2 linked regions of the Lytechinus pictus genome follow. The protein of the gene in region 1 binds, or shares a complex with, the protein of each later gene. Links are inferred from orthologs where the notes say so. Each region holds a gene or a part of one and is shown in the gene's direction. Other genes may lie near its edges.

What was found. The genes of interacting proteins can lie anywhere in the genome.
Region 2: the proteins of THO complex subunit 5 homolog A-like (region 1) and THO complex subunit 7 homolog are in contact, whole or in part, in a cryo-EM structure (PDB 7APK), measured with the Homo sapiens proteins. The link is inferred for Lytechinus pictus from reciprocal best matches to the Homo sapiens genes THOC5 and THOC7. Residues at the interface, in NP_001002877.1 of Homo sapiens: Pro48, Asp51, Tyr52, Tyr55, Cys59, Leu62, Gln63, Met66, Ala67, Gln70, Phe95, Lys99, Leu101, Asn102, Ala105, His106, Arg108, Leu109, Gly112, Arg113, Gln115, Thr116, Ala119, Lys120, Val123, Tyr126, His127, Leu130, Leu133, Glu136; in NP_079351.2 of Homo sapiens: Ala21, Asp23, Ile27, Leu30, Val31, Phe34, Tyr50, Met53, Leu54, Leu57, Cys60, Glu61, Met64, Gly65, Thr67, Leu68, Val70, Tyr71, Asn74, Met78, Tyr81, Ile84, Tyr85, Ile88, Glu89, Ser91, Ile92, Ala95, His96, Lys98.

Annotation. Positions count from the first base shown.
Region 1 is NC_087246.1:18,993,209-19,000,145, reverse strand, and holds the start of THO complex subunit 5 homolog A-like, read left to right. Parts: upstream 1-3,895; 5' UTR 3,896-4,021; coding exon 4,022-4,138; intron 4,139-6,513; coding exon 6,514-6,663; intron 6,664-6,937. UniProt on the Homo sapiens protein: Component of the THO subcomplex of the TREX complex which is thought to couple mRNA transcription, processing and nuclear export, and which specifically associates with spliced mRNA and not with unspliced pre-mRNA.
Region 2 is NC_087247.1:45,236,406-45,243,486, reverse strand, and holds the start of THO complex subunit 7 homolog, read left to right. Parts: upstream 1-3,995; 5' UTR 3,996-5,441; intron 5,442-7,081. UniProt on the Homo sapiens protein: Component of the THO subcomplex of the TREX complex which is thought to couple mRNA transcription, processing and nuclear export, and which specifically associates with spliced mRNA and not with unspliced pre-mRNA.

The DNA of each region.
Region 1 (6,937 bases):
TACGATCCACTACCATACTTTAGTAGAAAGAAGTTTGGGAAAAACATCTTTTTACAAAATGATCGAGGACTAGACTCTAGATCTACTAACAAAGTTAGAGGCTATGGTCCTATTTTCTTGATATGTGAATTCAAAGGGAACGGGTTGAAGGAGTGAATGTCTTTCTAAATTCAATATGTCTATAGCCTAAACGTTATCTAGATTCTAGTTCTTGTCATGCCTGCCGAGATCTTCGGTAGGAATCGAAATTTTAGATAAACTCTCGCCCAAAAGTCTGGCGTGAATTGAATATATGATGGTGGGCCCCAAGTCTGCGCACCTAACAATTTGAGTTAAGATTTAACATGAATTTCTTCTTATTTCACAAAATCTTTTGGTTAATAGTGTTCCTTATATTATTAAGAGTAAGTGTACCAAATTTCTCATTAAAAAATGAAAGAAAATATAAATTTTCTTGAAAAACCTTTGGGCAGTCATTTTCAGATTGAAAAAAAAAATGGTACCCCATGTCTGCGCACTCATTCACTTTGCACACGATTCGGGGATTTTGATGACAAAGGCTGCATTTTGAGGCCGTCACATGAAATGCCCTGAATTCATTATTTTTCCACCGTTTTGAGTCGGATTTTTTTATGAATACCTGTCTATGTAATGCATGTGTAAAGTTCGTGCTCGTTGCGTATCTTCTTTTACTAGAATCGCGCAGATACGCGGGTGCGCAGACTTGGGAGACCGCGCAGACATGGGGGAACTGACCATACGAGGTCTGAAATCGTAGCAGATGGAGATTTACATGTAATATAGCCGCCATATTTAGCTCACGACGATGGAAATAGTTTTGAGTTTTCGCAAGTCGTTTGCTTCCTAATTGTTCACTTTTTATAAACAAAAATTAATTCATGTTATACCCAGACTTCTAAAGATCCCATATAACATCAGATCTTTTGATTTATTTTTGTAAATGAATTAAAATTCAGCGTTAATCTGACAGTACTCACCGAAAATCTTTCAAGGACATAACCTTCTTCTGCCCAGGACCAAAATCCAGTTAAAACCAATTAGGGCAAAACCAATTGAAACCAGTTGGCCAACTGGTTTCAATAGGGAAATTGGAACAACTGGTTCCAATTGAAAACCAGTTGCCAATTGGTTCCAGTTAAAAACCAATTGAAAACCAGTTGCCAATTGGTTCCAGTTAAAACCAATTGGGCAACTGGAACCAGTTGGCAATTGTTGTCAATTGGTTCCAGTTGTTCCAATTTCCCTATTAAAACCAATTGAATCCAATTGGAGGCAACTGGTTTCAATTGGTTCCAGTTGAAACCAATTGGAGGCAACTGGTTTCAACTGGAACCAGTTGAAACCAATTGGTTTCCAACTGGATCCAATTGGAACTTCCAGTTGGAACGAACTTAATTAGTTACAAATTAATTAGCATTTGCAGTAACTATTTCTCATGCCAACACAGAAGCAGTGTTATATGTCTATTAATACCAATGTAAAGGGCATTGATAAAATACAGACTTTCATGTATATATATTTATATGGAAGATCTTCAAATATATGTACTTTTATTTGATGTAATTTGGTAACAGTTAGTGGTGTACTAATTATCCTTTAATCTGTTTTAATTATAATCTATAACATTTATGAACATGGTTTTCACTGCTAAGTATTCTAAATACTAATCTTTAAAAAGTGTGGTACTTGAAATTGTAAAGAATTAAATAGATACATTGTTAATGATGATTAATCTCATAAAACATTAATCTGTGCACACTGGCAAATAATATGCAAATTAACTGGTTTCAATTGGATCCAGTTGGGTAACTGGAAAATTTCCAATTGGAAACCAATTGGAAATAATTTCCAGTTACCCAACTGGTTCCAATTAGAATTCATTTCCAGTTACCCATCTTTCCAGTTAGAAGTCATCTCAGTTACCCAATTGGTACCAGTTAGGATTTCCAGTTACACAACTGAATGGTTCAAGTTAGGATTTCCAGTTACCCAACTGGTTCCAGTTAGAAATCATTTCCAGTTGGAAGTCATTTCCAGTTACCCAACTGGTTCCAGTTAGGATTTCCAGTTGCCCAACTGGTTCCAGTTGGGATTTCCAGTTACTCAACTGGTTCCAGTAAGAAATCATTTCCAATTGGAAGTCATTTCCAGTTACCCAACTGGTTCCAGTTGGGATTTCCAGTTACTCAACTGGTTCCAATTAGAAATCATTTCCAGTTGGAAGTCATTTCCAGTTACCCAACTGGTTCCAGTTAGGATTTCCAGTTGCCCAACTGGTTCCAGTTAGAAATCATTTCCAATTGGAAGTCATTTCCAGTTACCCAACTGGTTCCAGTTAGGATTTCCAGTTGCCCAACTGGTTCCAGTTGGGATTTCCAGTTACTCAACTGGTTCCAGTAAGAAATCATTTCCAATTGGAAGTCATTTCCAGTTACCCAACTGGTTCCAGTTAGGATTTCCAGTTGCCCAACTGGTTCCAGTTGGGATTTCCAGTTACTCAACTGGTTCCAGTTAGAAATCATTCCCAATTGGAAGTCATTTCCAGTTACCCAACTGGTTCCAGTTAGGATTTCCAGTTGCCCAACTGGTTTCAATTGGTTTCAACTGGAAATTGTTAAATTCCAGTTAAAACCAATTGAAACCAGTTGAAACCAATTGAAACCAATTGAAACCAGTTGGAAATCCAACTGGTTTCAATTGGATTTTGGTCCTGGGTGTGCGGGTGACGTCACCTTTTAGATAGGGGTCAAATTATGACGTACGAATTTCAATAGAAAAATACATTATTCATGAGGTAATGTCCAATCAAATCACAGTATCTTGCGAGTACGCAAACAAAAAATAAATGATTCATTAGCAATATGCAAATGGGGGCTTAGGATTCGGTTCAAATGTCTCCCAGGAGGTGTGGCCGAAAGTGGTAAAAAATACGCTTATCACCATGGAGCTTCTATGGAGTATCTGTACGTTATATGCAAATGTTATTTAAATTAGGCTTTTCCGCGGGTGCTACCTTTCCGTCTATACGTATTTATTAGTCTATGATGCATACCTATGGAACGTACTTGCAGCTAGCCCGGCGGCACGGGCGCCGGGTGCGCTATAGCGCAGAGGCGATGGTCGGACAGCGCTCTGCGGCCGCTTTTCACCAAATTGCGGCGAACGGAACGGCGTAATGGAAAGTATGTGAAGCCTTGGAGCGGATTCCTTTCTTCTTTTTTCTCGATAAGAAGAAAATGCTATGCCTTGGAGCGGCTTTCTTTGTTCTTTTTCTCAATAAGACAAAAATGCTATGCCTTGGAACGGAAATTTGAGTGTAAAAATGGGGGTCCCCTCCGCGGCACATACCCACTATGCATCATATACTGATCGAGTGCCCCCCCCCCCCCGGGCAGCAGGCAAAGGGGGTATAATTTGTTGTTGGTGTGACCTCTCTTAAATTACCATATGCATGGGAACGTTTGGTGATTTTCCCTTTTCTGATAACACAGTCTTCCCCCATATCCTTTCTGTGTTTCAACGCCTTACGAAAATTTTGATGAGCCGAGTCTCTCTCTGCAGGGATACGATCTGGGTCAACATATACTGTCTTATAGTCTGCATGTCTTCTAAGTTTCCTTGTCTTAGATAGTATTACTGACCTTTGAACATCTAATTCCAAGCAGCAATTGAGGTTTGGATTTGATCGAAGCAAATCCTTTGAACTTGCAAAGTTAAAGGTGTTGTGATAAATTAATTATCAATCGTGACCAGTTTTTGGTTGTAAAGCAAATTTCATAAATACTAGTAATTAAATTGAACTTGAATGCATATGGGTGAACATGAGTATTAATTTTTAGTGCAGTAGTTTGACTTAATCATGTGGGTGCTCAGCAATGTGTTCATGAGAGTCAGGAGAATAGGGATGAGATAGTGGAGAGATCAGTGGGTGCATGAGATATATGGCCCTCTACGTTTGTTTCTTTTCATTCCTCATGAAAAGGAAAGCAAGACTTGAAAAATGTCGGTGCCCACTGTGAAAAAAAGAAGAATTGTATCAAAAACTGATGATGATCAAAGTAGTAGTTCATCACCGAAGAGAGACTCTAAAAAGCCAGTACTTATCAAAGTCAAAAGGGTACGTATTCTGTATTGTAACACAATTCACTGATGCAGATGAGCTCCGTCGGCGGCGAAATTCGTCTCGACTCAATAAAGCTCGATAACTTCGACCGAGGAGATGGCTTTGCGTGCGATTTATCTTGCACGCAATTGAACAGGTGATAACACGTTTCTGTGATAATCCTCTGAGTAAATTGATTTGTCTGGAAGCGTTTTGGCAAATAAAGATAATTTCATTTACTGTAATAAATCCGCAAACTGTTTAAGCTTTCCATTGGCAATCAAAGGCATAGAATATTAAATGAATCTGTGAGTAGGGTGTCTGAAGCCACACTGAAAAGTGTCGGCATAAAACGGGCTGATTTAGGGGAAAATGTGGCACATTTTTTCGGGGAAGTTCAGGCTACTAGAAAAATGTGAAAGAGAAAATTCAGGGGCTTCTTTTGACAGTAAGGACAAGTTTATATGATCATTTTAAATAAGGATTTAGGCCTAGAGATAAATTGCAAACCCTTATTTTTGTGTGTGTTGAGATTGCCATTTCCCCATGCGTTTTCTATGGGAAAATGAAATTTCTGGTTTGCACAATTTTTTTCACTTTGTCGCAAGTTTTCATTGTGATCTGGTTTCCAAATTTTTATAAAAATCATACCATCAGATAGAGCATAAAAAATCCTATTGAGTATTGGACTCTTTATGGACAAGTTTTTGGCATTAATAATAAATTTATAACAGCTCTCGGAAGCTAAAAATTTGGATTTGTGTGTGTCCATTTTTTAACTACACAGTCTATGGCAGAGAAATGCTGAAAATTGACCTAATTTCATTCTTCTAGGCCTAGATCTATTCTATATCAGGCCAAGTAAAAAAAGAAAGTTGATCGTCCTCGTGTGCATCTATTTTGGCCGCCGCATGAAATTTTTTACTTATTTCAAAAATTGGCTAAAAAATATAAAAAAGTGATGTTTCTCGTCCGCGCCCGCTTCCCTTTTTTGATTGCCGCATCAATTTTCTTGATATTTACTATTAAGCGAAAAAAAAAAAAAAAAAATGGGCGAGTGATTTGCTCTCATGTGCTCTGGGATCTATCTCGCAACTTCCTAAAACAATTGCAAAGTCTGATATCGCCGTATCTGCGATAAAGAAAACAATTTCTGATTTGTTTGTTTTTTTATTGATAATTTTGAAGATTCAATCATGAATTAGCGAGAAAATAAAGTTTGCAAACCCAGAAAAATCACAGATTTCTTCATTTTAGTGCATTTTCGGGGACCCCGCTTCCTGAATCTGAAATAATCCGTTGTGTGCTTTGGAAATATGGCGCAGATAAATCATTGTTAATGATGTAATTTGTATTTCAGCGGGGGTTATGTTGGCACTCGACAGGTGAATGAACTTTGCTAGTTTTCTTGTATGGAGAAATCTGTATTAAAAATAGACAATTCCTGTATCTGTATTCTGTAAACGGATGATCCTCATTTACAGACCGGTACCCCCTTAGACTTGAAAGTCTAATTGTTTCATGAAGCTGTCTTTGCCAGGAAGGCCCGAGATCAGGGAAAACATCCTGACTAAATTATGACACCTATGAATAACGCTGTCATAATTTTTTTCTGTCATGACGCAGTTAAATTGCAGTACCATCACATGGATACATATACACCAAGAGGAGGCGGTGTAGCTCAGTGGTTTAGAGTGCCTGTTTCGGATAAAATCATAGATCTCAACGTGATGGGCTCAAGTCCCGCTCAGGCTGAAACACACCTAACAAAAAACAACGGATACTAGAGGGTTGCAGTACTAGGAAAATGTTGGTCCTGTGTAGAGGAGAGTCACAACTTATGCATATTAAAATCAGTACACTTTTCATCAAAGAGTAGGAAGTTCACCCAGTATATTGCAAATGTCAGCCCCGGCAAACCTCAATAGTACTATAATACACCAAAGGAGCATTAGCAGAAACAAGTGTTTTGAACCCCTTTTTAAATGTCTCTTCATCTTTAATATATTTCTGTCCAATTTCTTGTAAATATGATGATTTTAAATACGTGGGAGAGTTGATCATTCATGGCTATTTAGATTTCAAGAAGTTATTATTATCTGGATATTTCACATGTTTAAGAAAGGTGCTGATAGACTGAAATCGAACACAGATCACTGATACTAGGGATGATTTTTCAAATGGGAGAGAGTCCATACTGTGTTAATACCAAATACCAGGGTCCCGTAACACAAAGGTTAGCAATTAATCGTACGATTGATTGTACATTGTAGTCAATGCAATCAATCGTAGAAAATTGTTCTACGATCATTGCTAAGCTTTGTGTTACAGGCCCCAGAAGGCGAAGATGATCCCAATCATGTCTCTTCTCCCTTTACTGCTTTCCTTAGGAGCACTCTCCATACGATGAAGAGAAGGAAGTAGGTGCCCGAGACATGGAGAAAGATCTTCAGCTTCACAATGAGACGTCAATGAAGCTGAGGAGTTTGATGGCTGATATCCATGCCCACAAATCTCAGGAGCCATCCGGAACTATGAAGGTAGTAATTAATGAAGATGATGTACATGTAATGTAATGAAGACAATCCTTAAAGTATAATTTGCCCAATACTGTGTGTGTCTGTCTGTCTATAGATCTGTCTGTCTGGCATGTTATGTTTAATGTGCTTCACTCCGTAATCAGCCACCATGGTCCTGTAACACAAGGTTAGCAACTAATCATACACTTGATTTCTATGATTAATTCTACATTGTAGTCAATCCAATCAATCGTATAACAGTGATCTACAATGATTGCTAACCTTTGTGTTCAGG
Region 2 (7,081 bases), on another chromosome or scaffold:
CGTTTGTCATATGATTAGAATGAGCAAAAAGAGATGTTTTGGGGTATATTTTCAGTGTTCAAATGGGAGAGTTGTACGTGTGTGACATCACAGATCTTGGTCGCATTGCCAATGGGAGGATCTCCATAGCATTAGTGATCTCGACATTGAAATGCTCACAACTCTGTTATTGCTAGTCCTATTTTACTCAAACTTTTGTTGATCTCATTCTTTGATTTTTCTGCTTTCACAAAAGCTAACTTGCTCCAAGAGTTTCATTCTCCTTTAACCTAAGGTTAAGTTTTTGAAATGTCATCATAACTTAGAAAATATATAGACCTAGTTCATGAAACTTATACATAAGGTTAATCAAGTATCACTGAACATCCTGCATGAGTTTCACGTCACATGACCAAGGTCAAAGGTCATTTAGGGTCAATGAACTTTGGCCGAATTGGGGGTATCTGTTGAATTACCATCATAACTTTGAAAGTTTATGGATCTGATTCATGAAACTTGGACATAATAGTAATCAAGTATTACTGAACATCCTGTGCAAGTTTCAGGTCACATGATCAAGGTCAAAGGTCATTTAGGGTCAATGAACTTTGGCCAAATTGGGGTATTTGTTGAATTACAGCCATAAATTTGAAAGTGTGTCGGTCTAGTTCATAAAACTTGGACATAATAGTAATCAAGTATCACTGAACATCCTGTGCGAGTTTCAGGTCACATGATCAAGGTCAAAGGTCATGTAAGGTCAAAGAACTTTGGCCACGTTGGGGGTATTTGTTGAATTGCCATCATATCTCTATAAGTGTATTGGTCTAGTTCATAAAACGTGGAAATAGAAGTAACCAAGTATCACTGAACATCTTGTGCGAGTTATAGTAGTTTTCAAAATCAGCACTGCTGCTATATTGAATCGCGTGATGCAGGTGAGACGGCCAGAGGCATTCCACTTGTTTCTGGAGAAGTTGATACCACTTTTCATTTTATACTGTATTGAAAATATGTTAGATTATTTTGGAAAATTATAGAAAGATTGGTATTTTATATTTTCAAGATTATTATTTCTATAGATGAAAAACATTAATTATAGGTTATGATCTGCAAAATTCCAGCTATGTTTTGTGTAATCTATAATTTTGTGTTATTGTTCAATTTGTTATTTATCAAAATTATATAAAAAGCATATTCAAAGGAAAAAAATATGCAAATTCTTTATGGATTGAATTCAAGCTTACTATGATTATTTATTTAGAAAGTTTATATCAACAAAGAAAAAAAATCTGAATTTTGAAAAAATGTGATATTCAAAATAGTATTGCATTATTGAATTGAATTGATTTTTTTTTTGTATATATATATATGTACATGTTATTGTGAATAAATGTGAATAAATGCCTCGATTAAGAGGATAAATGAAAAAAATCATATAACTTGACTCTTAAGTAAATTTGATTCTTTTTTCTAAATTAAAAATAGAGATTGAAAAATGAAAAATTTCTTGCCATATTACTTTCCAACAAAAAAACTTTCCACCAAAAATAATCCCAAAATTCAAGTTTTTGAGCGCTCTAGTGAATACAAAAATTATTCCCAAGTTACTAATAAAAAAATAGATTACAACTGTATGGAAATTAGTATTTTTGGTCACAAAAGTGTTATTTTCATGATTTTTTTAAGTGCGTGTTGTGTTCTGCATTGGCATATCATAGTCCTACCTGTAGATTCCCCACAGGCAGGATGGTTGCAGTGAGCAAGTGCCTCAATGCAGCTCCGCAGGGGTAGGCTTGATCATGGGGTTTATTACGTGCCGCCGCGCACAGAAAAATCAAGCCATAGAAGTCGTGTGTTGTGGACGCCAGAAGTGGCGTCGCAGCACACGCGACCCACTAGTTAGAAATCCACTGTGGCTCTTTGTGCGAGGTGACTTACCTTGCACTACATGAACCACGAGATCTAGTGTGAGTGACCTCAACTTGATGTTCGTGTATAGTCGCGTATTGTATTACAGGACACTATCATGATTATGGACGCGCATATTACTGCGTACGAAAACAATTTTGTACTGTAACTATTGCACAGTTCTATTTCACAGAGCAATACATAGAACAAGATTGCAAAAACAAGGCAAAAAAATCCAACTTTTACCTTATTTATCTCTAAAATAAAGTACGGGTTGTGTGGTCCAGTGGTTAGAGCATTGGAGTCATAATCGCAAGGTTGTGAGTTCGAATCCCAACTCTGCCATTGTCTCCACTTTGATAAAAAGGCCCGAGAGTGATATCTGTCGTCTATAACGTCAGCCACTATGACTGATTAACCTAGACGTAAAATGTTTCATAGGTAATTGGTTATATGCCAGCTTGGCGTTTACCAGCAAAATGCTGTCCTGCCGAGTTCCTACGAGAGTTACCACAAACAGAAACAGAAACAGAAAATGACAGAAAATGCTTAAAATATCATATAACATAGTTTTGCATGAACAATTGATATATTTTCTGACGGAAATATGGGCCTGATTTGACGAATTTAAATCTCGTCTGCGCGCCCCTTCGATCGAATGTTGAGGTGTGGTGTATTGTGGGTGATCATCGACGGCTAGCTAGCTAGTTCTCGACTCAAGGTATACCCTTGCGCGAGGTTTACCGTGATAACGTGATAAGAGCCGTCAACGATCGACAGCGCATCGATAGATCTTGATTAGCGTCACGATACGAACAAGCATAGTAGCCATGGAACATGCAGTTAAAAAAGAAAAAAAATAAAATTAGTCAGCAAACCCAAATTTATTACCAATATCTGCTCAGATTCGATGTAAAAAAAGCAAACTAAAAACTTAGAATATACCCATGATATGATATATGAAGAAAAAATTCACACTAATTCTTCCTTACATCATTATAATCAAGAATATCTTTACCCATCCGGCTCGCGTCCGCAATCATGATGTAATTTGTCACATGCGAAAATAATTGTTTTTCGTGGAGGGGTATGAGGCAAGTGCGATGCAAAGAAAATGATTGGTAAATATAAAAATAATTTTATCATATTCATAATTTTCATACTATTTGGAATAGCAAGTGCGAAATTTTCATGATTGTATTTCCTCTAATCTAATTGTCATTTTTAAAGCACTGAAATAAAGGTGTCCGGCAGTAGGATACACTGCCATACTGTAATGTAGGCTCCACTTCACCACCGCTACACCTACCTGTGTAGTGTAGCTGTATTGAAGTGGAGTGGAGTCTGGAGCCTACATGAACATCACTTGAGGTAGATTAAGCCAGTGACAGTGTATGGTATTTTTGGATCGTATTACCAAAAACTTTTCATAAATTCAATCATATCATACTCAATATTTTCTGAAAATGCATCAGACCTCCACCAAAAATAAACAAATACCTACAAATAAAGATGTAATATTTTTGCCAAGATATGTTGCCCTTTTTATCAGCTTCCAATCACTCTCTTTCGAAAAATTTTGGTCACCACTCACCTGAGCTGAGAATGGTATTGTATTGCCATCAACACCAACACCGAACTTGAAATTAGCCAATAGGCTTGACCTTTGACTTGCTTCGTTATGACATAGACCTCTAGCTAGGATGAGCTACATTATGAGGAGCCATTTTGTAGAACAATGTGGAGAAATTATTATTAAACAAATAATAATTATCTTACATTTTAGTTGGTAAATAATCACCATATTTTAATAGTTTATTGTGCAATTTCAAGCATCTCAGCCAGACTGTACACTGGTAGCATCTTAACAGAACGTCGTAAAGGGATATGGGATTTCATTTATTGCTCCAGGCCTCTGGAACTCCTTTCTTCACTCCGTGAAATTGACAACATTGAGCTCTTCAAATTGTCTCTCAAAACTCACTTATTTCAGCAGATGTGTAATAATTAGCTTAATTGGATGAGCCTGCACCTACCTGTTTGAATGCTTTTAAAAGAAATATGGCGCAATATAAATGCGTTGGATCATCATCATCATCTGTCGAGGCTCAGATGGGTTGGAGTTGTGATTCTACCCTGCTTCCACCCTCGCGGTTGGAGGGAAAAAATTTTGCAAAATCCTTCCTGAATAATTCTTCCCATTATATCAATAAGAGCTTCTTGATAAGAAGGGGTAGTTTTTTCACTTTTCTCACTTTGCCGACTTCGTGTAACGCTTTGCATCGATTTTGTAGATGATTTTGGTATCCAATTTCAGAGAATGTCTCCACTTTGGGAGACCATTTTTTTTTGTTTACATTATATGAGGCAGCTCTAGGGATTACCTAGACCAAAAGCTTCTGTCTGTATTATATTGGTTGTTCCGCTGAACTCCGTTGGCTCCACTCACCAATTACAGAGACCGAAGTTCTAACTCGATCTGCACAGGGACTCAATGGCCATATTTTTATGTATTCAGTTCGAATAACCAAGGGAAGTGGAAGTTGCGTGACAGCCGAAGTATTAGTCATTGTTTTTTTTTTCGTTTTAAGTTTATTTTTTCCTGTTTTGGTGCATTTCAGGCCAAAATGGAATAATAATCTTTATTTTGGTCAAGTTCTATTTATATATTTTTATGAAATTAAGACAGAAATTGATGAGCCCCGTTGGAGGGATTTTACATTGTTAACCTTCAAATGGTAGCTGCACGATCGCGAGCCATCTGTGTAGAAATTTAAAAAATAATGAATGTTTTTAAAATCCTCGAAACAGCCGGCTGCCAGCTGTCTAGGGATTGCCTTGCTGGCAAACAAACCTGTGATGTGCAAATTCCTCGTGAAATTTACTCCTCTTCACCATCTACTATAAAATTTACATCAATTTTATTTTACAAACAGTTTTATTTTTATCTGCAATAGATTCTTTACACACAAATTAAATGGGATTTTAATGTCAGCAAGACAAACTTTTGGAAGGGAATAACTGCCTTGTTGGTGTTGTTTCTTTTATCCCCAATAGGACAGATTGTCTCCCATATTGGAGAAAGTCTCCAATATATGCGGTGTGCCTCTAATTTTAGCTGTTTAGAATGTTTTGAAGTCATCTTTGTCTGATATTTGGCACTGTTCAATATTTGTTCACTTTACCTAGGATTTTCCAAAGGGGGAGGGGGACAATTTTTGTTCAGAAAACAATTTAACAAGCCCCCCCAAAAAAAGTTCTGGTTCTGACAAAATTAGGGTTGAAATCAAAGTTTAAATTAAATTTGATAAATCTCATCTTTTGCTGGGGATGAGGCCTAAGTATTATTATTCGTTATGTATAAAAATTCAATTTTACTAGTATTCAGGTGAATGATAATTGAATATCCTTTTTTTTTTCATACTTACAGAGGAAGTGATACGAAAAAGGCTGCTTATTGAAGGAGAGAGTGGAGGTGATGATAGAAGAATCAGTAATCTACTCAAAACCTTTGTGAAATGGTGTCACACGGATCAGAGCAATGAAGAATGGTTAGTTTTCTGTTGATGATTGTGGCATACTGTTCCTTGCAAAATCATTTGAACCCCATAATATATTAAGTAATCTATTCTAACAAAATTTTGGTTTAGTTCTGTATGGAATGAAAGAACCAACTAGATGGTATGTCAACGAGAAATTTATAGCCTCTTATTTAATTAACATTAGGAATCATTTCCATCTTTGCATGAATGGGTATGGTCAATCAAGTGAATAAATGTCATTACTGTACCTTTCTGTGATCACTGAAGCATACCCTGTAATGCTCAAATGATGCTGGCCTGTTCATTCAGGTTTTTTTATTTTTTTTTTATTGAGGACATAAAGCCTTCAATTGATAAAGGATTCATAGTATTTCCTTTTCAATTCATGTCAGAATGAACAAACTCAGTTTAAATGATAAGAAATGTGTATCAAATGAAAAAGGATACTTCATCTATCGAAAATTTGAATGATCAAATCATGATCTTAGAAGGTTGACAAAATAAATGCAAAATATCGTAATGTTGCCACTATTTGTTCATGTATGAATGAAAACAATTCCTAATCGTGATTAAATCAAAGACTATTGCCTTATTATGAATTTATATATAAACTGGGTTCCAAAAGAAACTGATCAAACTTTCAAGGGCACTGCACAAATTATAGCTCCATTGTCAAAATGAACAATATTTTTACACAGGCTAGCTTCAATACTCTAAGCACATGTCAATGATTAAGAGATTGGTTTCAGAATCCAAAGTTACAAAATGGCAAAAGAAAGACCAATAAAAATGAGATGAGATTAACCCTAAAAGGACAGGGAGGGGGGGGGGGGCTATCAGACAATGATTATGCCGAAAATGGCTCATTTTTATACTTCATGTACAAAGTCTATGGGAGATGAAATTCATAAAAGGGTGATTTTTTTTATTCTGATTGATCTGCTTGATTAATTTAGGGTTTAATTTAGTTGTTAAATGGTTTTTAATAATTTCCACTGAAAAAAAAAAAAAAAAAAGGGAAATACTTTAGAAATTCTAAAAACAAAGAGATACATAAGGAAAAATTTGACAGTTGCAATTTTTTGTAGAATCCTTTAGATAAGATTACACAGATGACATCTGGGAACAAAAGAAAATTTGAGGTGAAATTGGATGTTAAATATACAAATAATGTTTTTCATTAATATATATGCATATTTTGTCCATAATAAATAATAAATAATTAATTTTGGAAATTTTGTTTGTACTGGCTTGTAGTTAATGTGGTAAAGAATTTCAGCACAATCACATGAATGGCAGCCAAGATGATACCCCCCCCCCCAGTCCTCAATACATCTCAAATAGCCTACCGTAGTCCTAGGGTTCAACAAACGTCCCTATTTATCACACATGTGCTTCACAGGAATGTTAAAGAGATTGACTTGATCACAAAAAGCTACAGGAAGTTTAAATCAAAATTTTAAATGACTGGAACAATCCAACACACACAGATTCCAAGGGGAAGTCCCGGTAAGCGGGGGATAATCTGATGGTTCCATGACATTTGCTCCGGCAACAATTGCTCCGATTGAAAATCTTCACGTTAAGCCAATTATAAAACTTAATCTCTAAAACTTAATAAACCCACATCCTTATCTTTACATTATTTT